Anolis sagrei: one gene and its partner. The protein of the gene in region 1 interacts with the protein of each later gene in a pairwise test. Links are inferred from orthologs where the notes say so. Each region holds a gene or a part of one and is shown in the gene's direction. Other genes may lie near its edges. The genes, in order: CHN1 and HEMK1.

What was found.
Region 2: the proteins of CHN1 (region 1) and HEMK1 interact in binary tests that used the Homo sapiens proteins (3 or more experiments, as listed by UniProt). The two-hybrid records come from large-scale screens. The link is inferred for Anolis sagrei from reciprocal best matches to the Homo sapiens genes CHN1 and HEMK1.

What each region holds. Positions count from the first base shown.
Region 1 is NC_090021.1:191,923,067-191,934,275, forward strand, and holds the start of CHN1 (N-chimaerin), read left to right. Parts: upstream 1-6,110; 5' UTR 6,111-6,442; coding exon 6,443-6,461; intron 6,462-11,209. UniProt on the Homo sapiens protein: GTPase-activating protein for p21-rac and a phorbol ester receptor. Involved in the assembly of neuronal locomotor circuits as a direct effector of EPHA4 in axon guidance.
Region 2 is NC_090022.1:71,665,733-71,677,212, reverse strand, and holds the start of HEMK1 (MTRF1L release factor glutamine methyltransferase), read left to right. Parts: upstream 1-7,287; 5' UTR 7,288-7,369; intron 7,370-9,376; 5' UTR 9,377-9,582; coding exon 9,583-9,843; intron 9,844-11,480. UniProt on the Homo sapiens protein: N5-glutamine methyltransferase responsible for the methylation of the glutamine residue in the universally conserved GGQ motif of the mitochondrial translation release factors MTRF1, MTRF1L, MRPL58/ICT1 and MTRFR.

The sequences.
Region 1 (11,209 bases):
ATATTTATTATGAATACTTTAAGTTTGTAGCTAGTTACAACTTGCAGTTTCACATGCTGCAGTATTCTGAACTACTATTCACAGATGATGGTGGTGATGATGTTACCCCTTGCTCTCCTTGCTTTTGAATGGATTGAAGACAGGTAATTGCCTAGTAATTTAATACAGCACTCAGAAAGTGGAGTAGAGATGTAAGTGATCTCTGTTGTTAGTGGAGGGGGAGAAAGATAAGTGTTACCTTAGTCAATGATCAATGAATATCTGATTGTTGAAGGTGTGTCCCTATATCTGTCACTGAAATGCCACTTGTATACTAACACCATTTTGATTCTTACAGGGACCGGAAGTAGAAGAAGCAATTTCTTCTGCCCTTCTACTGGCTTCATAGCTGTTGGAAGAATAGACTCAGTTGTCCCTGGTTCAACATTTCCTTCCTAGGTTCGGTCAAGTTCTTTTTGCTTAAAAACACTGTGTGCCCTTGCCAATTTATAACACATGTTGATCATGAAACACTAACAGAGTAAGGATAGTAAAATCCTAGCTAGGCCAGTCTAGTGACATTCTATGATGTGAGGAAACTGCAGAAACCTCTGAAAAATTCCTGTCACTCCCACATGTGCACATGTTTCAGCCATTATGAAATCTCTTTTTGAATGATTTTATCACACAGCTTTCAATGTATGCTGAATGCTTATTATGATTTAGTGGACACCTGGGAACAGCTCAAGAGGAAAACTTAAATTAGGGCAATAGCCCTTTAAATATCCTGAATAATTCCCCACCTCAGCACTATATAACACTTTTTGTTCCTGGGTTATAAATGTCATTTCCTAATTGGTTCTATCATTAAAACATGAAAAAGGTTTATTAAACATTTTGCAGCACATTTTGCTATAGTTTTTAAGGGAATACTTAGTCGAGATTTAACCAATTCAACATAGTTTGTAGCAATCACAAAAATGAAGTTTTTGGAGTATGACAAGTACTTTCAAAATAAGTACCACAAAATTAAAAGGAATAACACTTTCAAAGCAGGAACAGAAACATTTTCAAATTTTGTTACATAGTGTTATTATTTTTCTTCTTCCTTATCTGTGGAGATTATTGAGAAAGATATGGTGTAACACTGTTTAGGACTAGTTCCATTTGCTGGAATGTGCAGCAACAAGATCAACCAGTTTCTATTGATGCTTTCCATGGATGTAGAAATAACTCTTATAGGAGGGGACTCCGAATTAGCATTTTTGTTCTTGTGTATCTTTCCCCATTCATGAAAAGTGGCCTGCTCATATTTGTCAGAGTAGCGTTAGCAGCCCACAGAATGTCTCAGCCACTTTTACTCTCAATGTGATAAAAACTCAAAAAATACACGAGTCTGTTGCTTTAAGTAGAAACAAAAATATAGTTCTATTCACTGTAGAGCAAAAACACAAAGCAAAACAGAATTGTTCTCACCAATATACAACTAACAATATCTCCGATGAGTCTTCTTTACATGATGATATGCAAACATATAGCAAAATAATACAGTCTCTCTACTTAGTTATCAGTTGAATGTCCTTGTCTTGCCATAAACAAGCAGTTTCTCTGGCATTCCAAACTGCTTCGATCTTCAGCTTCAGGACGATGCATAACCACTCCCAGCAACAGCCAAAGGTTTTTTCAGCTCAAAACGAGCCATCAAGCTAAGACAAAATGCAAAGCTCAAAGCTTGCAAGTCTTAGTGGAACTGATAACACACCCAGTCAACCCGTGGCAGCTGTAACAGAAAAGCTTCTTATCCTCCGTTACTTAGAAAAAGCCTGTTGTAAACCCCTAGTAGCAACAATATTGTCCTCCCATTCCCAGTTAAGTTGGCATATTATAAAGGAAGATGTGCCTAAGTTCAAGTGATGCAATTCCGAAGTGTGTTTCATAATGCTATTTTAAATGGTGTCCATGTACTAGTGCTGGTTTTTGAGCTATCTTCTGCCACTATCTAGAAGTTGTCAAGCCACAGCACTTCCCTCCCTAAAGGTTTATGAGCAACAAGAAGACTTCAAGCAAGAAATATGATTTTTTATGATTTTTAAGCATTTTTCTCTCAAAGTTTTGCAATGTCAAAGCTACTGGAGGCTCCAGAAGGACCCAGCAGCAACTGTATTCCAAACTATATCAAAGCTATACTCTTTAATGTATAAAATTGATATTTCCTATGTAACTTGTATTGATTGTGTATTGTATCAATGTATAAATGTGTTAACTTGGATCAAATATATCCTGAAGGCAGCTGCTTCTCCAATGCCCCATTTGTATAAAATGCCAAATGAGAGACTCCGTCCTGGGCACACAGAAAACTGGGCAACTTGGAAGAAGCTGAACAGACTGCGCTCTGGCACCACGAGATGCAGAGCCAACCTTAAGAAATGGGGCTACAAAGTGGAATCCACGACATGCGAGAGTGAAGAAGAGCAAACCACAGACCACCTGCTGCAATACAACCTGAGCCCTGCCACATGCACAGTGGAGGACCTTCTTGCAGCAACACCAGAAGCACTCCAAAGGACATTTAATAGTCTGCAAACTCTTGCCAAGTCTGCAAACTTTGTGGTTTGTTTGTTTTTAATGCAATACAACTGTTTTGGTTCACTTCTGACACGATAAATAAATAAACTCTTGGGAATAGAGATGGCTGTACAATTAAAGAAAGGTCCCTCCAGCAATCTCCCATTTGTATTGCATATTGTAATATAATACAATATAGTACTACTAATAATAATACAATATACTACTATTAATAATATACTAATATAAATTATATATTATATATTACATGTAATATTACTAATAATATTACAGTATAGTTGTATAATACAATAAAGTAATGTATAATGCTATTATTGTGTTATGCTAATAATACAATATATTGTATATACATATAATATTGATAATAATATGTAATACAACATAATACTAATAATATAACATAATATTAATTACATATTACATGCAATATTACTGATAATATTACAGTATGGTGGCATGGTACAATATAGTAATAAATAATGCTAATATTGTGCTATGCTAAAAATATATATTGTATGTACATATAACTTGTAAGCTGCTCCTTTTGGGGTGAGAGAGGGTGGGGTATAAATGCAGTAAATAAATAGATAAAACTTTGTAAAATGACAGTTCTCATAATTCCGTAGAATTGAGCTATGGCAATTAAAGTGATCTCAAATTACATTAATTCTGCAATGTAGATACACTTCAGGTCTCTGTTTAGCCAGAACTTGCCTGGTCAGTTTTATCCCTCTGGTTAATGTTTTCCCAGAGCTCAGAAAAAGCCAGACAAGGAACTATCTCTTTAAGTCTGGCCATGCTTAGAGAAAATAACAAGGTCACAAGGTAACCATGTGATCTTAATTGATGAGTAAGAAATACTGTAGATATGTTAAAGGACAAAGAGCTGTTATTTTATATTACAGTAGAGCTTCGCTTATCCAACCTTCACTCACCCAACGTTCTGTATTATCCAATGCAGTCTGCCTTCCACCCAGATCCATAGCTGTTTCAATACATTGTGATGTTTTGGTGCTAAATTTTTAAATACTGCAATTACTACATAACATGTATTGAACTGCTTTTTTCTGTCGATTTGTTGTAAAACATGATATTTTGGTGCTTAATTTGTAAAATCATAACGTAATTTGATGTTTAATAGGCTTTTCCTTTATCCCTCCTTATTATCCAACATTTTCGTTTATCTAGACTCTACTGCAGTGGTTCTCAACTTGTGGGTCTCCAGGTGTTTTGCCCTACAACTCATAGAAATCCCAACCAGTTTACCTGCCATGTATCATGTTCTGCAGTTGATGGTGGTAGGCCTAGCAGTTCGTGATGGAAGGGTTAATGTAAGTCTTAGTTCTAAAGGGTTGAGTAATCTGTAAGTAAGAGTACATGGGTGAAGGCAATTAAGGGTGGAGGTATGCAAGGGATAGACTGCAGCTGGGTGTTTCTGGATAAAATGAGCTAGCCTTGGGACTGATCTTTGGGACAAAAGTATTTGTTTTATTTTGGTGGTAGATGCTGCTGGTTTTCCCCCAGGTTTGTGGATTTTTGGTATCCTGAACTGTCTCTTGAACCCTGGAACCTTGAATCTCTGGACTGGCTTTTGACTGTGGTATGGACCAGGGGTCCTCAAACTTTTTAAACAGAGGGCCAGGTCACAATCTCTCAAATTGTTGGAGGGCCGGATTATAATTTGGAAAAAAAAAACATGAACGAATTCCTATGCACATTGCACATATCTTATTTGTAGTGCAAAAAAACACTTTAAAACAATACAATAATTAAAATGAAGAATAATTGGAACAAATATAAGCTTATTAGTATTTCAATGGGAAGTGCGGACCTGCTTTGGGCTGATGAGATAGGATTGTTGTAGTTATTGTGTGTTTTCAATTTGTTTTAGACAGGTTGACCCTGACGAAGGACCAGGTAAATGACCTTGGGGGGCCATATTCAGCCCTCGGGCCTTAGTTTGAGGACCCTGGTATAAACTCTTGATCCCTGGACTTTGCTCACTGAACTCTTGTCATTTGACCACTGGACTGGACCTTTTGACTACGGAGTTATCTTGAACCTGTAACAGTGTTTGCTGTCAGTTTTTTATATTCTGTGGCCGAGTGCTATCTTTATGTTTTGGACTATTAAAACAGCCAGAAAGTAAGTGCTGTTTTAATTAAATTGTTTCAAACTGGCTGTTTGTTTGATTCACCTCTGCCTGAATAGAGGCAGAGCCCTTGCAACGTGACATTACCACCTGTTAAGATTTCTGGGAGTTGAAAGTCAACACATCTGGGGACCCACTTACTTACTTACTTAGGCGATCCCTCGTTGGATGAGTAAGATGGTCTTCCTTGATGACTATTTTTGTGGATTTGTAGGTGGCTGTGGAGCCCTATTCTTAACCTGCATCTTCTCCCACAGTGAAGGCATTGGTTTCCAGGTGGAAGGCGGTCCCGGTTGGGGTTGGCTTGACCCGCCTTCCTCCTGGCACATTTCTCTCTTTCACCCTCCACTCGTGCCTCCTCGAATTCTGCAGCACTGCTGGTCACAGCTGACCTCCAGCTGGAGCGCTCAAGGGCCAGGGCTTCCCAGTTCTCAGTGTCTATGTCAGAGTTTTTAAGGTTGGCGTTGAGGCCATCTTTAATCTCTTTTCCTGTCCACCAACATTCTGTTTTCCGTTCTTAAGTTCAGAGTAGAGCAACTGCTTTGGGAGATGGTGGTCGGGCATCCAGACAACGTGGCCGGCCCAGTGGAGTTGATGTTGGAGGACCATCGCTTCAATGTTGGTGGTCTTTGCTTCTTCCAGCACGCTGACGTTTGTCCGCTTGTCTTCCCAAGAGATTTCCGGGATTTTCTGGAGGCAGCACTGATGGAATAGTTCCAGAAGTTGCATGTGATGTCTGTAGACAGTCCACGTTTCGCAGGCATAGAGCAGGGTTGGGAGGACAATAGCTTTATAGACAAGCACCTTAGTATCCCTACGGATGTCCTGGTCCTCAAACACTCTCTGCTTCATTCGGGAAAATGCTGCACTCGCAGAGCTCAGGCGGTGTTGTATTTCGGGGACCCACAGGTTGAGAACCACTGCTCTACTATACTATAAAACTGCATTCATTCTACAAAAGGTTTGGGCAAACTTTGGCCCTCCAGGTGTTTTAGACTTCAACTCCTACAATTCCTAACAGCCTCAGGCCCCTTCCTTTTCCCCCTCAGCCGCTTAAGCTTAAAGTTTGCCCAAGCCTGTTCTACAGTGTATGCAGATCCGTCCTCCCAAAGTGAGACATGAGAGTGTTGGTCACTGCGAAGTGCTTTGGAGGAGATGTGGAAAAGAGTGAAGTTGGGCAGAGAGAGAGAGAGAGAGAGAGAGAGAGAGAGAGAGACCCTGTTGCTCCCTCTCCTCTTCAGAAAGAGAAACCAATGCAGCATCCCTTCTAGCTTTGCTTCTGCGAGGTTGACAGGAGGGAAGGAGAGAGGGCGGGCCAGGGATGGAGGAGGCTGGTGGCCCGCGAGCCCCCGTTGCCATGGGAACTGGCGCTGGGCTCGAGGAGGGGAGGGGGAGCCGGTCATGTGGCGAGCCAAGATGGCTACCAGAGCCTGAAAGGCGGCTGCTGAGCCGAGGCGGCGGGAAGAAGCGCCGGGAGAGCGAGGCGTCCCTCCGGCGGGCAACAGCTGTCTGAAGTTTCCTCGGCCAGAGCCACCGCCCAGCCTCCCCTGGGCCCGCCCACAAAGCCCCAAACGGAGCCCAGCCCCTCACCATCCCCACCCGGCGCCTCTTCAGGCGAGAGAACTTTTATTGCAGCCGCCGCTCTTTGTGCGCCTGGTTGGCTTCCTCGGCTGCGCGTCTAGGGAGGCGCGGAGCCCGTGCCCTCCGCCTCGCCGCGCCTTCGCCATGGCCCTGACCCTCTTCGGTGAGTCACAGCGCTCGGCTCGGGGGCAAAAGGGGGAGAGGGCGCGCCTGGGTCTGGGGACGGGGTGGGCTCGCCATGGAAGGCGCGGGCTGCGTCCTCCTTCCTTTCCCTCCACAGGGTAGCCAAGACTCGAGGCTGAGCCGCCCATACAAGCCAATAAGCGCGTCCAGACTGAACTCTCCCTACAAGCCCAGATGACTCCATACATGGCTTAGAAATGGGTCCTAGAATCAAGGGGCCCTTCCACACAGCCCTGTATCCCAGAATATCAAGGCAGGAAATCCCACAGTATCAGAGTGTGGACATAGATAATGTGGGATTTTCTGCTTTAATATTCTGGGATACAGGGCTGTGTGGAAGGGCCTTAAGTCCACACACTGCCTTATATTCCAGTTGAAAGCAGAGAATGTGGGATTTTATCTCAGAGCCCTTCCACACAGCCCTATATTCCAGAATATCAAGGCAGAAAATCCCACAAGATCTGCTTTGAAGTGGGTGATCTGAGTCCACACAGCCCTATATTCAGGGGCAGCTCAACCATTACTCAAAGTAAGCCTTTGCAGTATAGTTGATTTTGCCCAGGGGCGCTCTTGAGGCGCTCTTGGGGGAAAATAGATCTTGACATATGCAAGTTGTAGTTACTGGGATATATAGTTCACCTACAATCAAAGAGCATTCTGAACTCCACCAATGATGGAATTGAACCAAATATGGCACACAGAACTCCCATGACAAACACAAAATATATATCAGTGATTGGGGGGGGGGGGGGGAATACTGTTTGCTTACCATTGAAAATTACCTAGGGCCGCTTCTGCCTATATTTCAGTTGAAAGCAGAGAATGTGGGATTTTATTCAGCTGTGTGGAAGGGTGCCCAGATGACTCCATAAATGACTCACAAATGGGTCCTAGAATCAAGGAGCCCTTCTACATAGTCCTATATCCCAGAATATCAAGGCAGGAAATCCCACATTACTTGAGTGTGGACTAAGATAACCCACTTCAAAGCAGATATTGTGGGATTTCCTGCCTTGATATTCTAAGGCATAGGGCTGTGTGGAAGGTCCTTAAGTCCACACTGCCTTATATTCCAGTTGAAAGCAGATTTTATTCAGCTGTGTGGAAGGGGCCTGGGCACAGATAACCCAGGCCCCTTCCACACAGCTGAAGAATAAAATCCCACATTCTCTGCTTTCAACTGGAATATGGCGGTGTAGACTCAGATCACCCAGTTCAAAGCAGATATTGTGAGGTTTCTTGCTTTTATATTCTGAGTTATATGGCTGTGTAGAAGGGCTCTGAGATAACCCAGTTCAAAGCAGATTTTGTGGGATTTTCTGCCTTGATATTGTGGGATTTCCTGCCTTGATGCATATCAAAAATAGGGCACCACAGTCACCTACAGACCCACCAGTACACTGATCTTGGAAGACTATCCTACTCTGACAACAAGGGATGGCCTAAGAGAAGAGCAGAGATTCTGAGATATAGGGGTGTGTGGAAGGGCCCTGGGAATCAAGAGAACCCTCCAGACAGGCCCAATATCCCAATGTCTCAACTCTATTTTTCTGCATTAAACTGGATTTTTTATATGAGCCCCCACTGCCAGATAATCTAGGGCTCCTTCCACACAGCTGAATAAAATCCCACATTTTCTGCTTTGAACTGGAATATGTGGCAGTGTACACACAGATCACCCTAGGCCCTGGCTCCTGTGCTGGCAGGACTGAAGACCAACAGGTCGCAGGTTCAAATCCGGGGAGAGGCGGATGAGCTCCCTCTATCAGCTCCAGCTCTATCAGCTGGACATGAGAGAAGCCTCCCACAAGGATGATAAAAACATCAAATCATCCGGGTGTCCCCTGGGCAATGTCCTTGCAGCCGGCCAATTCTCTCATTCCAGATGCGACTTGCAGTTTCTCAAGTCGCTCCTGACATGATAAAAAAAAAAAACCCTAGGCCCTTCCACACAGCCCTATATCAAGGCAGAAAATCCCACAATATCTGCTTTGAACTGGGTTATCTGAGTCCACACTCAGATAATGTGGGATTTTCTCCCTTGATATTCTGGGATATAGGGCTGTGTGGAAGGGCCTCCAGTTCAAAGCAAAGATTGTCTGATTTTCTCCCTTGATTTTCTGAGTTATATGGCTATGTAGAAGGGCCTTGGGATAAACAGAAAACCTGGGATCAGATGCTGGGATATAGGGCCTGTCTGGAAGTACCCAAGGCTGAACTCTCCCTACAAGCCAAGATGAGTAAATAAATGACCAATACATGGGTCTTAGGCTGGATCTACACTGCCTATGTCACAGTATATGATCCCAGACTATATGCTTTGAACTGGATTATATGAGTTTACACTGCCAGATCATCTGGAATCAGTGGACAACCTGCGATCAGATCCTGGGATATAGGGCAGTGTAGATCCAACCTTAGACTCAATCCTGAACTATCCCTAGAAGCCAACAGGAACACATAAATGACCAATAAATGGATCCCAGAGTAAATCAAGGAAGAATGTCCCTTCAAGCCAAATGCATGACCAGCAAATGGGTCTTAGGGCACTTCCACACAACCATATAACCCAGAATGTTAAGGCGTAAAATCCCACAATATCCACTTTGAACTGGGTTATTATCTGAGCCCACACTGCCATATCTTCCAATTCAAAGCAGAAAATGTGGATTTTTTTTCAGCTGGCCCTAGACTCAGAGCTGAACTCCCTCTAGAAGCCAAGAGGGTTAAAAATGACCAATAAATGGGTCCTTGAGCAAATCAAGCCAAACCCCTTCCTACAAGACAAAATGGCTCATCTGAGACTGTCGTACTTTGGACATGTCATAAGAAGGGGTGGTTCACTAGATAGGATAATACTGCTTGGTAAGGTAGAAGGCAGGAGAAAAAGAGGAAGGAAGCATTACAGGTGTATAGATTCAATTGAGGAAATCGCAGGTCTGCAAGACCTGAGCAGGGATGTTGAGGATTTGGAACCTTATTCATAGGGTCACCATTGGTAGAGGTCAACTTGAAGTTAGTTATAACAACAGCAGCAGTTAGACTGGCAAGCAAGAGAAGGCTGCTACTCCCTCTGTATCTCTCCTATTGTTTCTGCTCCAGGCAGAATGGGTGTGTGCATGCTCCTGAAGACAGTTTTGAGAGTGTTTTGGGTTTTTTTTTTTTTTTAAAGTTGATTTGCTTCTGGCATATTTAGCACCAGACTTTATACGATCTGTTCTTTCACCTCTGTTCACAAGAGAGAGAGAGAAATCGATATGGCTGGCACTTGCAACCATGAGGTGTGTTTCCTCAAAGGCACCCTGGGAATACCATCTGTCTTACTCCTTTGTAGTTGTCTAGCTTCTTGTATATCCTGGTTGGAAGAAGTTGCTCCAGAACTGGGAGAAACTGATTTTTTTGTGGGCCTAGGAAGCAGGTTAGAGTTCCCAACATTATGTATTTTCCCTCCCAAAGAAAAGATCATATTGGCAGCAAAAGCGAGATGAGTAAAGATGTAGCTATCTGATCTTCATTTAGTAAACTGTCTTTGCAAGTTTTTAAAGAGAAACATTGCACATTAAAGAAATGAGGGTTTAAAAAAATAAAAACAAGGTATTTTATATTTGATGCATTTATGTTTCCAGCAGCAGGCAAACACTCTGGTAAATAAACTATTAAAACAGAATGTTATATGAGAGCGTATTAATAAATTAAAATAATTATTAAGCTTAATTGCACACATTTCTAACTTGGCAATTAAAAAGCACTTGGTGACAGTAAAGTGAAGCAAAAATAATCTTGATATTAAAATATTATTTGTGGAAGAAAATTTCATTACATTAATAACTCATTCCTGTTTCTTAACTTGAGGGAGTGCTTTCTACTGAATAATTTTGCATAATTGTAATTTATGCATAATGTGTTTCTGCATAATGTTGTAGTGATGCTGTTTGCTCTTATTTGTAATTTTGCTGAGGTTTGTCAGACACATGTGGTAATGCAGAGTTTATTAAGAACAACAATCCTCCCTCAGGCTTTTCTCTTCATAATTGTTTTAACTCATAATTGTTTTAACTTCATAACTGTTTATAAAGTAACGGTGCACCATGCAGTCATGCTGGCCACATGACCTATGAGGTGTCTATGGTTTTACATTAATGTGCTACACACATAAGGCACGCTCCCCTACTTGACTCCTCCCACTGGCAGGAGTTTCCAAAGTAGAGAAGAATGAAAGCTAGCACATTGGATAAGCAGGAGCGCTACATTGCAATGTCCAAACAAAGTAGGAATTGAAATTAAGAGTACCATATCAAGGACAAGGAGAAAATCCTATGCCCCCAGCCATTGTTACACAATTGCAATGATGCTTCCAATCTTATGGTTTGTATGCATACACAAGCACGCATGGATGTATTTGTTGCTGCTGTTTACTGTTGAGTTTTATAAAGTTCTGATTTTGTCAATTGGGGTGGGTGGGTATTTACATTACAGTATTGGGGGTATGGTCTGGTATGGTCCATGAGGGTGACATTATAAATTACTTCATTTGGTGACCCCCAACCCTACTGACATAATTGGTGAATTCTGTAGAATTGTCGCTTGCCATTACACAGCCAGTGGAAAAGATGCGGACGGTAGTTTTGCAGTATACAGTGCGCCCCTGTTATCTGCTGGGGTTTGGTTCCAGAACCCCTCATGGATCCCAAAATCCATGGATGCTTAAATTTCATTATATGTAGCAGC
Region 2 (11,480 bases), on another chromosome or scaffold:
CACTGGGTTTTTATGGATGAGTGGGGACTGCCTCAGAGTCCAGTGCATCTACACTGTAGAATTAATGCAATTTGAAACCATTTTAACTGCCATAGCTCAATGCTATTGAATCCTGAGAGTTGTCGTTCAATGAGGCACCAGCACTCTTTGGCAAAAAAAGGTTAAAGACCTTGCAAAACTACAACTGCAAACCATGAAGCCATGACATTTATAGTGGTGTTGAATTGCAATAATTCTACAGTGTAAATTAGAAATACCCCTAATCCAACATTCTAATCACAACATGACAATCAGGGAACTTTCTACGAAAAGTGCACAATATCCCTTCCCTTCCCTAGGATGCAGCCAGGGCAGCTAAAGTAGTCACAGCCTCTCCAAAACCATGCATGAAGTATATCAAGTGAGACTTGTGATACATATACTAGTATTTGGAGCAGGGATCTTCCTCAAAACCAGACTGAGAGGAGACATGATGGCCATGCATAAATATGTGAGAGGAAGTCATAGAGAGGAGGGAGAAGGCTTGTTTTCTGCTGCCCTGGAAACTAGGATGCAAAACAATGGCTCCAAACTAAAGGAAAGGTGATTTTACCTGAACTTAGGAAGAACTTCCTAAAGGTGAGAGATGTTTAGCAGTGGAACTCTCTGCCCTGGAGTGTGGTGGAGGCTCCTTCTTTCATAGAATCATAGAGTTGGAAGAGACCTCATGGGCCATCCAGTCCAACCCCTTGCCAAGAAGCAGGAATATTGCATTCAAAGCACCTCCGACAGATGGCCATCCAGCCTCTGTTTAAAAGCCTCCAAAGAAGGAGCCTCCACCACACTCCGGGGCAGAGAGTTCCACTGCTGAACAGTTCTCACAGTCAGGAAGTTCTTCCTAATGTTCAGGTGGAATCTCCTTTCCTGTAATTTGAAGACATTTTTCCACATCCTAGTCTCCAGGGCAAAAGAATACAAGCTTGCTCCCTCCTCCCTCTTTGGAGGCTTTCAAACAGATCCTGGATGGCCATCTGTTGGAGGTGCTTTGAATGTGATTTTCCTGCTTCTTGGCAGGGGTTTGGACTGGGTGGCACAAGAGGTCTCTTCCAACTCTACGATTTTATACATATATATATATATATAAAAAAGAAAGTAAGCTAAATTCTTTTTTTCTGGGGCTTTTTCACACTACACGGTTATAGTACTATGATTCCACTATAATCACCTAGGCAACATGCTACTGAATCCTGGGATTGATAATTTCAGAGGGGCATTTAGAGTTTTCTTCCAGGATTCCATAGGATGCAGCCAGGGCTGCTAAAGAGGAATCATAGTATAAGCTGAGTATCCAGAATTCTCAAATTGGAAATGGTTCACATGGGAGGCTGGGATGGTAACACTTTTGATGGCTGAGGGTTCAATGTTCACAAACTTTGTTTCATTCACAATATTATTCAAAAAGACTAACTTTAGTCTATGTGTAGAAGACGAATTGGAAACATGCCTGAAAATGACGTCTAAACACGGGTCCTATCTCCAAGTTGTCTCATTATGTAAATATATGCAAATACAGGCATTCTAAATACTGAGGAAAGGTCAACAGCATTAAAAACACCTCTGGCCTCAAGAATTTTGGATGAGGGATACTCAAGTTCGTATTATAATTGTGTGGTGTGACATCCGTAGGGATACCAAAGTGCTTGTTTATAAAGCTGTTGTCCGCCCAACTCTGCTATACGCCTGTGAAACGTGGACTATCTACAGATGTCACATGCAATTCCTGGAACAATTCCATCAGCATTGCCTCTGAAAAATCCTGCAAATCTCTTGGGAAGACAAGCGGACAAATGTCAGCGTGTTGGAAGAAGCAAAGACCACCAGCACTGAAGTGATAGTCCTTCGCCATCAACTCCGCTGGACTGGCCACGTTGTCCGAATGCCCGACCACCGTCTCCCAAAGCAGTTGCTCTACTCCAAACTCAAGAACGGAAAACGGAATGTTGGTGGGCAGGAAAAGAGATTTAAAGATAGCCTCAAAGCCAACCTAAAAAACTGTGGCATAGACATTGAGAACTGGGAAGCCCTGGCCTTGAGCGCTCCAGCTGGAGGTCAGCTGTGACCAGCAGTGCTGTACAATTTGAAGAGGCATGAATGGAGGGCGAAAGAGAGAAACGTGCCAAGAGGAAGGCACATCAAGCAAACCCCGACTGAGACCACCTTCCACCTGGAAACCAATGCCCTCACTGTGGGAGAAGATGCAGGTCAAGAATAGGGCTCCACAACTACCTATGTACCCACCCCCAGGACACCGAGTAGGCTGTTAGGAATTGTGGGAGTTGAAGTCCAAAACACCTGCCTGGCCGAAGTTGGCCCATGCCTGTTTTTCAGGTCAACTTTCCCTCCTAGCATGGAAGGAGAGTATAGTGTTTGAACTACCCCTCCAGGTTGGTGACCTCCTCCCTGGCTCTCTCCTATCACCCTTCTCTCTTGCGTGTGCACGTGTTCGTGAGGATGCTCAGTCCTGTGAGCCAAAACCATGACATCAGCACCCAGGCAGGGAGGAGGGGGAGGAGGAAGAGAGTCCCTCCCCCTTGCACAGCTCCTAGGACAGGTTCTCCACTGCAGAACCCATACAGTTTGACACCTGGTGATGAGGGAGGCCCTGCGTCTACACTGCGGAACGAATGCAGTTTAATTCCAATGCCAGGGGGATCCTGCGCGCGGGCCTCTTTGGCAGGGGAGGCGGACCACTTTGCAAAAACTCCCAACTCCCAGGATTCCGTGGCAAGGAGTAAAGCGGAGTCAAACTGCATCCATTCTCCGGTGTAGACGCAGGGCCTCCCCTTTTGCCAGGCCTTCTCTCTCTCCCTGCCTCTATGTCCCTCATCCACTTCCTCCCTCTTGCCCTGGAGGCCAGCCTGCTTTTGATCCCGCTCCTCCCGGTGGAGAAGGGGCGAAGCCTGCAAGAGGACCGCTCCCCCCCCCCTTCCTCCTCCGCCGCCTCCGTGGGAAACTCAGCGGCAGATAGGACTGGCTTCCTCGCAGGCAGGCAGGCAGGCAGGGCTCCCGGCTATGGAGGTTACCTGCGCCGGAGGAGCCTCAGAAGTGGGTGCTGATGCTGCCGCCGCCCGGCTCTGGCTGGCCATTGTGTCTCCCCGGGAAGAAGAGGATGGATGCTCCAGCAAGAGGAGGAGGAGGAGGAGGAGGATCCCGGTCCCCTCCCCTCGCCGCCCTTCTGGAGGTTCGGCTTTGGGCTCCCCTTCGCTTGGGATTGGCCCACGGGGGGCGGCGCTAAGATTCGCGATTGGGCCTACGTCCACGTCACTCACGGGGAGAGCAGTTCGCCGCCGTAGAGCCGACCAATGAGCGCCCTTCGAGGTTAGGATTTGCGCGGGATTTGCCGTCAGGAGGAAACCCTATGAATGGCCGGGAGGCGTCTTTTGACGCTTCACCCTGGCTCAGTGCTAGGGAATCCTGGAAGTTGTGATTTGGGGAGCCACCAGTACTCTTTGGCAGAGAAGGGGAAAGGCCTTGGGGGTTTTTTTCCGTGTCAGGAGCAACTTGAAAAACTGCAAGTCGCTTCTGTTCTTAGAGAATTGGCAAGGACGTCTGCAAGGACGTTACCTAGGAGACACCTGGATGTTTTGCTGTTTTACCATCATTGTGGGAGGTTTCTGTCATGTCCCCACATGGAGAGCTGGAACTGACAGAGGGAGCTCATCCACACTCTCCCTAGGTAAGGGTTGGAGGTTACAGTTTAGGGTTAGGGTAAGGTTTAGGGTTTGGGTTTGCGTAAGGGTGAGAGGTTACGGTTAGGATAAGGGTTAGAGGTTAGGGTTAGGGTAAGGTTTAGGGTTTGGGTTTGCATAAGGGTGAGAGGTTACGGTTAGGGTAAGGGTAAGGGTTAGAGGTTACAGTTAGGGTTAGGGTAAGGTTAGGGTTGGAGGTTATGGTTTCGGGTTAGGGTAAGGTTTTGCGTTTGGGTTAGGGTAAGGGTTAGAGGTTACAGTTAGGGCAAGCTTTGGGTTAGGGTAAGGGTTGGAGGTTCAAATCCAGTGTGAGTGCGGATGAGCTCCCTCTGTCAGCTCCAGCTCTCCATGCAGGGACATGAGAGAAGCCTCCCACATGGAAGATAAATTATCAAAACATCTAGGTGTCCTCTGGGCAACGTCCTTGCAGACAGCCAATTCTCTCACACCAGAAGTGACTTGCAATTTCTCAAGTCGCTCCTTACATGAACAAAAAGCATGACACTGGACAAATTCTGGTGAAAGGCCAAAAGGTTCTTAGAGAGATGCTTCCTTAGGTTGAAAAATAGCATTTTAAAAATAAAAAATGTTGTTTCCACTGTTAACCCCAAGAAATACTGTACACTTTATACCAGGCATGGGAAAACTTTGGCCCTCCAGGTATTTTGGACTCCAACTACCACAATTCCTAACAGTCTACCAGCTGTTAGCTGAACTCCAAAACAGCCAGAGTGCCAAAGTTTACCCATGCCTGCTTCATATGCATAACCTGAAGATAATTTTGCACATAATATTTTAAACAATTTTGTGGTGTTACTATCTCAGTCACCCATGCAGATTTGGGGGTTATTTCAGATTTTCAGATAAGGCAGATGTGTCAAACAGAACCCAAGGCCTATAGACCAAATACAGCTACTGTATTAATCATAGAATCATAGAGTTGGAAGAGACCTCGTGGGCCATCCAGTCCATCCCCTTTTGGGAAAGAAGCACGAAAATCTCTTTCAAAGCACCCCTGACAGATGGCCTCTGTTAAAAAGCCTCCAAAGAAGGAGTTTCCACCACACAAGAGCCTCTACCACATAGTATTCCTCATTATTAAACCTCATGACTAGAGCAGATGTGAGTTGTGATACAGTAACATCTGGAGAATTGCAGTTTGTTCTGTTTAGGCAGGAGAGTGGTGTTTGAATTTAGACACAAGGCTTATGGATATAATGTCTGACTTTAAAAATGTCCATCAAGCTTTCCCCAACCTCAGAGCTATTTGGGCTGCAATTCCCATTCTCCTCAGACTGCATAGCAAATAATCAAAAGTTATGGGAGTTTTCGTTTCGTTTTACCCCAAATGGGGTAAAAACTAAAGAGCACCAACTACTATATAAACAAATTATGGTACTATCTACAGATTCTCTATCCATAGGTTCAATATACTTTTTGAGTCCTTAGATTGTACTTTGGTCTACATGTTTCCAAATCTGCAACAGCAAATGTGTGGTATGAATGTTCAAGTTGGATGACTTCATCGGTTTTTAGGGTACAGCCACACTGTAGAACTGATGCAGTTTGACACCACTTTAGCTGCTGAGCCTCAATGCTACAGAATCATGGCAGTTTTATTTATTTTGTATCAAATCATTGCATAAATTAGTATAAAACTGATAAAAATAGAAGGCATGCAGGTGGCTAAATATCTTTTGACCAATAACAGGCAACAGCATTGTCTGTAGTCTCCATCATGGCAGTTGCAGTTTGGTATTAACTGTATGGACTCTACTGTAGCTAGCCTTGGGTTTGATTTCATATTGTTGAAGGCTTCCCTCACAACCTCTGAGGATGCCTGCCACAGATGCAGGCGAAACATCAAGAGAGAATGCTTCTAGAACATGCGATACAGCCCCGAAAAGCTTGTTGTTCATTTGTTCAGTCACTTCCAACTCTTCGTGACCTCATGAATCAGCCCATGCCAGAGCTCCCTGTCGGCCATCACCACCCCCAGCTCCTTCAAGGTCAAAACAGTCACTTCAAAGGTGCCATCCATCCATCTTGCCTTTGGTCAGTCCCTCTTCCTTTTTCCTTCTATTTTCCCCAGCATTATTGTCTTCTCTAAGCTTTCCTTTCTTCTCATGATGTGGCCAAAGTACTTCATCTTTGCCTCTAATATCCTTCCCTCCAGTGAGCAGTCAGGCTTTATTTCCTGAAGTATGGACTGGCTGGATCTTCTCGCGGTCCAACGCACTCTCAGAACGTTCCTCCAACACAGTTCAAAAGCATCTCTCTTCCTTCGCTCAGCCTTTCCTATGGTCCAGCTCTGAGCCGTATGTGACCATGGGGAATACCATTGCTTTAACTATGCAGATCTCCTTGCCAGTGTGATGTCTCTACTCTTCACTATTTTATCGAGATTAGTCATTGCTCTCCTCCCAAGAAGTAAGCGCCTCATGATTTCCTGGCTGCAGTCTGCGTCTGCAGTCATCTTTGCACCTAGAAATACAAAGTCTGCCACTGCCTCCACGTTTTCTCCCTCTATTTGCCAGTTATCAATTTATTTATTTCATTTATTTCAGACACTTCTACCCCACCCTTCTCACCCCGGGGGGGGGGGGGGGGGACTCAGAGCGGCTTACAAAGGCACAATTCGATGCCAGCATCAATGCAACAATAAAATACAATACAACAATAAAAACAGTATCAATCTGTCTGGTTGCCATGATTTTTTAAATGTTTACCTGCAACCCAGCTTTTGCACTTCTTAAACCTTGATTAGAAGTCTTCTCAGCTCCTCCTTGCTTTCGGCCATCAAAGTGGTGTCATCTGCATATCTAAGGTTGTCAATGTTTCTTCCAGCAATTTTCACCCCAGCCTTGCATTCATCAAGCCCCGGACATCGCATGATGTGTTCTGCATACAAGTTGAATAGGTTGGGTGAGAGGATGCAGCCTTGCCGTATGCCTTTCCCAATCTTGAACTAGTCTGTTGTTCCGTGGTCAGTTCTTACTGTTGCTACTTGGTCCTTGTACAGATTCCTCAGGAGAGAGACAAGGTGGCTTGGGATGCCCATCCCACCAAGAACTTGCCACAATTTATTATGATCCACACAGTCAAAGGCTTTGGAATAGTCAATAAAACAGAAGTAGATGTTTTTCTGAAACTCCCTGCTTTTCTCTATTATCCAGCGGATATTGGCAATTTGGTCTCTCGTTCCTCTACCTTTTCTAAACCCAGCTTGAACATCTGGCAACTCTCGCTCCATGTATTGCTGGAGTCTTCCTTGCAGGATCTTGAGCATTACCTTACTGGCATGAGAAATAAGGGCCACTGTACGGAAGTTGGAGCAGTCTTTAGCATTTCTCTTTTTTGGTATGGGGATATAAGTTGTTTTTTTTCCAGCCTGATGCCATACAACCTAAAAACCCTACAACAACCCATATAGCATGTGCTGCAATGCACCGGAACAGCCACGAGGGGCCGCCCTCTACTCGCTCTCTCGCTTTCCTCTCTTCAAAGGGACCCGTCCCTTTGACGAGGTGGGACTTTAGCCCTCTAGGAACTATATTACCACAACGTCATTTCCGGTGCCGCAGGAATAGCGCTGCACAAGCCGGAAGTGAGGCGTGTTTTCTTCCCAACGCGTTTGAGAGGTCGGTAGGAACCGAACGGCATTGGCCTCATGTGCCTCAGGATCACAGTTAGCAGCTCGGCACCCCGATAACATTTCCGTTCCTCCTGTCCTGCTCGGTTCTGTTGAGGGGACAATGCTTTCAGAAGCCTGGAAGGCTGGGTTTCATTATTATAAGTCAGTGGTTCCATCTCTCTGGGCATCAGCTCCCAGAATCCCTCATCATTGGTCGAGAGGCAGCTGAGGCTTCTGGGAGGTGCAGTCCAAAACACACGGAGGACTGGAATATGGGCTAGAATCGTTTCGTGTCTTGTTGAAATACAAGTGGGGAAAAGCCACGATTCCAACCAAAATACAGCTAACTAAGGGTGTATCGCCAGTATAACATTATTCCTTTTTGGGCCCTTTCATACAGTCCTATATCCCAGAATATCAAGGCAGAAAATCCCACAATATCTGCTTTGAACTGGGTTATTTGAGTCCACACTGTGGGATTTTCTGCCTTGATATTTTGGGATATAGGACTGTGTGGAAGGGCCCTTTGATATCACTTTAACTGCTATAGAATCCTAGGATTTGTAGTTTAGCGAGGCATTACTTATTTGGCATAAACCCTCTCTGACAGAAGGCCAAAAACCTTGAAAAATTACAATTCTCATAATTCCATTGCATTGAGCTATAGCAATTAAAGGGGCAACAAACTGCACAGATGCATCCTAAGGGTCCTTAAACACAACCATATAACCAAGAATATCAAGGCAGAAAATCCCACAATATCTGCCTTGAACTGGGTTTTCTGAGTCCACACTGCCATATATTCCAGAAAATGTAGGATTATATTTAGCTGTGTGGAAGGGGCCCCTTCTACAAAATCCAGTTTATCTGCTTTGAACTGGATTATTGCAGTGTAGACTTATATAACCCAGTTCAAAGCAGATGATATTGATTATTTTTCTTCAATAATCTGGATTATATGACAGTGTAGAAGGGGCCTCCAGGCCTTTCCACACAGCCGTATAACCCAGAATATCTGCTTTGAATTGGCTTATCCGAGTCCAGAAAATGTGGGATTATATTTAGCTGTGTGGATGGGGCCCCTACCTGTTGTATTTTAGGACAACAAAAATGCGAGCATGTGTCACGGAATAAGAGTAGCATCACACCACTTTCCTTGGTTCCAAATAGTTTTGTTTATCTTGTCTTTGTCTTTCCTGAGAATGGGATTTAAAAAAACTAACCGTGTGTTCTTCCAGAAGGGAAAACTGTCTTGAATACAGTGCTTGAGCAGGCATTATGTTCATGTTCCTGAGAAAGGCAGAATATACATAAATAAATAAAATCAACTGAAGTATCTATTGCTTTTTCTGTTTTTATTCTCATGCATTTTTTCCAGCATTAAATCACCAATCTGTTAGAAGTCTTTTGAAACTTGGTAGTACATAACCCCATACCAAACATCTGTTTAAAAAACTCCAGTGTTTTCTAAGCAGTTTAAAACTGATAAAAGAAGAATCTTACTCAAAAGCATGGTTGTGTTTAAAGATATTGCAAGCACTACAGCACTAACTAGGACTTGCTTTTCTCATATATACTGTATGTAATTGCTGTAGATAACAGGTCATGAGTACAAGAGATGCACACCATCTATATGACTGCTGAGAAGACACAAGTAGTTGTGACATAGCCCAGTGCAAACAGTTTGCATATTAGTGATGTTCAAGGAAACAATTTCACATTAAAGAACATTAGCCTTTCATTTGTGCTAAAATTCTGTAACATATAAAGTGCCCTTTAGCCAGTGTTGCTTAATAAGGCAAGTGTGGGCATTTTCAGTGGTGCTTAATTTTTTTTGCAAACATGATTGAAGCCACAGTTGTGGAAAACAAAGTGCATTAAGTGTTCCTCTTTTCTAGAACTGTAACATAGATTCACAGGCTGTATTTAATGATCTATGTTTAAATTATTTAAATGGGCTGTTTACCTGTTTTAAATCTGAGAGGTTTCCCTTTGGCTGTCTCTTTTTCTTTAGGTTTCTAGAGGATGGCTACCAGGAGAAGGGCACGTGAAACCGCCTGTTGACATGCTGGTTCATGAAGAACGAAGAGATGGGGCTGATCTATTAAAATTAATACTTGTCAATACACCAGATACTATTGGAGATGCCCATTATACTTTAGAGGGCTTTTAAAAGGAGATATTTCTTTCTGTTTTTGGAAGTTGTTACCTTCTGGAGCCATGACTGTTTTCACCAGTTCTTTGTACAGGAAACTTCTGTATTTGTCCCCTTACTGTGGCCATCTTGGAGTGATTTTGGCCAGGAACTGTGTCCTGCATCCTTGCCACAGACTGCTAAGGCAGTGTTCACATTCTAAGGCTGGCTTGGTGACAGCTGCTGAACTGGTCAGCTACTGGCAAGATGTGTTTGAGGCCAATGAGATCCCTGAAGCACGGGCTTCTTCTGAATATATTGTTTCTCATGTTCTGGGAGCAAAAACAGTTAAGTGTTATGAAGTATTTTAAGTCTGCGCAAAGCATTGGAATGAATATCTGGAGGCCTGTCACATGTATGATGTTCCAGTTAATTCTAGACCTAGTCTGTGAGATAAAGAGTACTTCTTGTAGACCAGATATGAGAAATGTTTAACCTTCCAGATTTTATTACAGTGAAACTCCATCAGCCCTAGCCAGCATAGTCAGCAATGACAGGAGTTACAGTCTAGTAACATCAGAATAACCACATGGTTTCCTTTTCTGTTATAGATTTAAAGTGTGAACTCCTCTGCTTTTGTCAAGGTATATTGAGGATGCACTTGCATGTTGCAATAGCATCTCAGTACAGTTCATCCTGTTTATACCTCTAGCAAGTGCAAAAAATTCCTCTTCCAACTGTCTCATTCTCCTGCATGGAATTTCTTCACTATTACGACTACCATGCAGCTTCAAGGGAATAGCCATGTTAATCTAGGTCAGTATCCCAAGGAATATTGAGGTACTTTGAGACTAACTGAGAGAAAGATGTTTGTAACGTTAAGATTTCAAACACTGGATCTACTTCATCAGTGGCATCTGAGGAAATAGACCTAGTCTACAAAAACTTATCCTACAAATTTCTTCCTCTCATTTAGTCTCAAAGGTGTTAAAAGATCCCTTCGCATTCCAGACAAGTTGTTAAATACAAGCCTTCTTGAAAAGTGAATTAAAGATAGATTTATGGGAACTGGGTCTATTAACAACTGTAATAGCTCTTGGTACCCTGTGTGTTTAGAGGCACAATGTCCAGAGATAATGAAGTTTTCAGAAATTTTGAAACTGTATGAAAAAAACTGGAAAAAAGCAATATTAACATGCTTGGAAGATTGAAAGTCACTTTGTTGTTTTAGGAATGTGAAATATAACTTTGTCTGGTATTAAACTTACCATGTTTTATTTACTTAAAAATCATTTATTCAGACTAATTTAATTTAATTTTTTTTTGTTACAACAGAGTTACAAATTCCAAATTTCACAAAAGCATGATACAATTTTTGACCAAACCTAATGCACAAACCACTTTATGCAAGCTTTTGAAGCTCTTCTGGCTTTTTTGTCATGTTAACTTCTTTTGTGGATTTTTGATTTTGTTTCATTTTGCTGTTTGTCCAACACAGTACCTTTGAATAAAAATCTTGAATTGTAAGCAAATCCTGAATTATAAGGAACTGAATTGAGTTTGTCAGTGTGTGATAAACCTGCAAAACAAAACAAAAAACAGAAGAGTATCAAAGAACTGTTTTGTCTCCTATAGTCCTCTGCAATATCAAAGCAGACATAAAGCACTTATTCCCATAAAAGGAACAGAAAAAAAGAAAAGAAAAGTCCAGAAAATGCAATGGTGTGATACTGCATATAGGCTTATATAAATGTTTTTGCCTAGTTTTCATATAATAAATACATAAACCTTGCCTTAAACTGTTTATCATTTTAGAAGGAAGAAACAAGATCCATTTTTATTTATTTTTATAGAAAATAAGGCTTTTTGGGGGAAAAGGAAACAGTGTTTTTTAACTGGGCTATTTTATATCTAATTTTGTTTCCCAAGATCTAACATTGTTTCCCAAGATTTAGTCTCCTAACTTGGGAAACAAGATAGGATG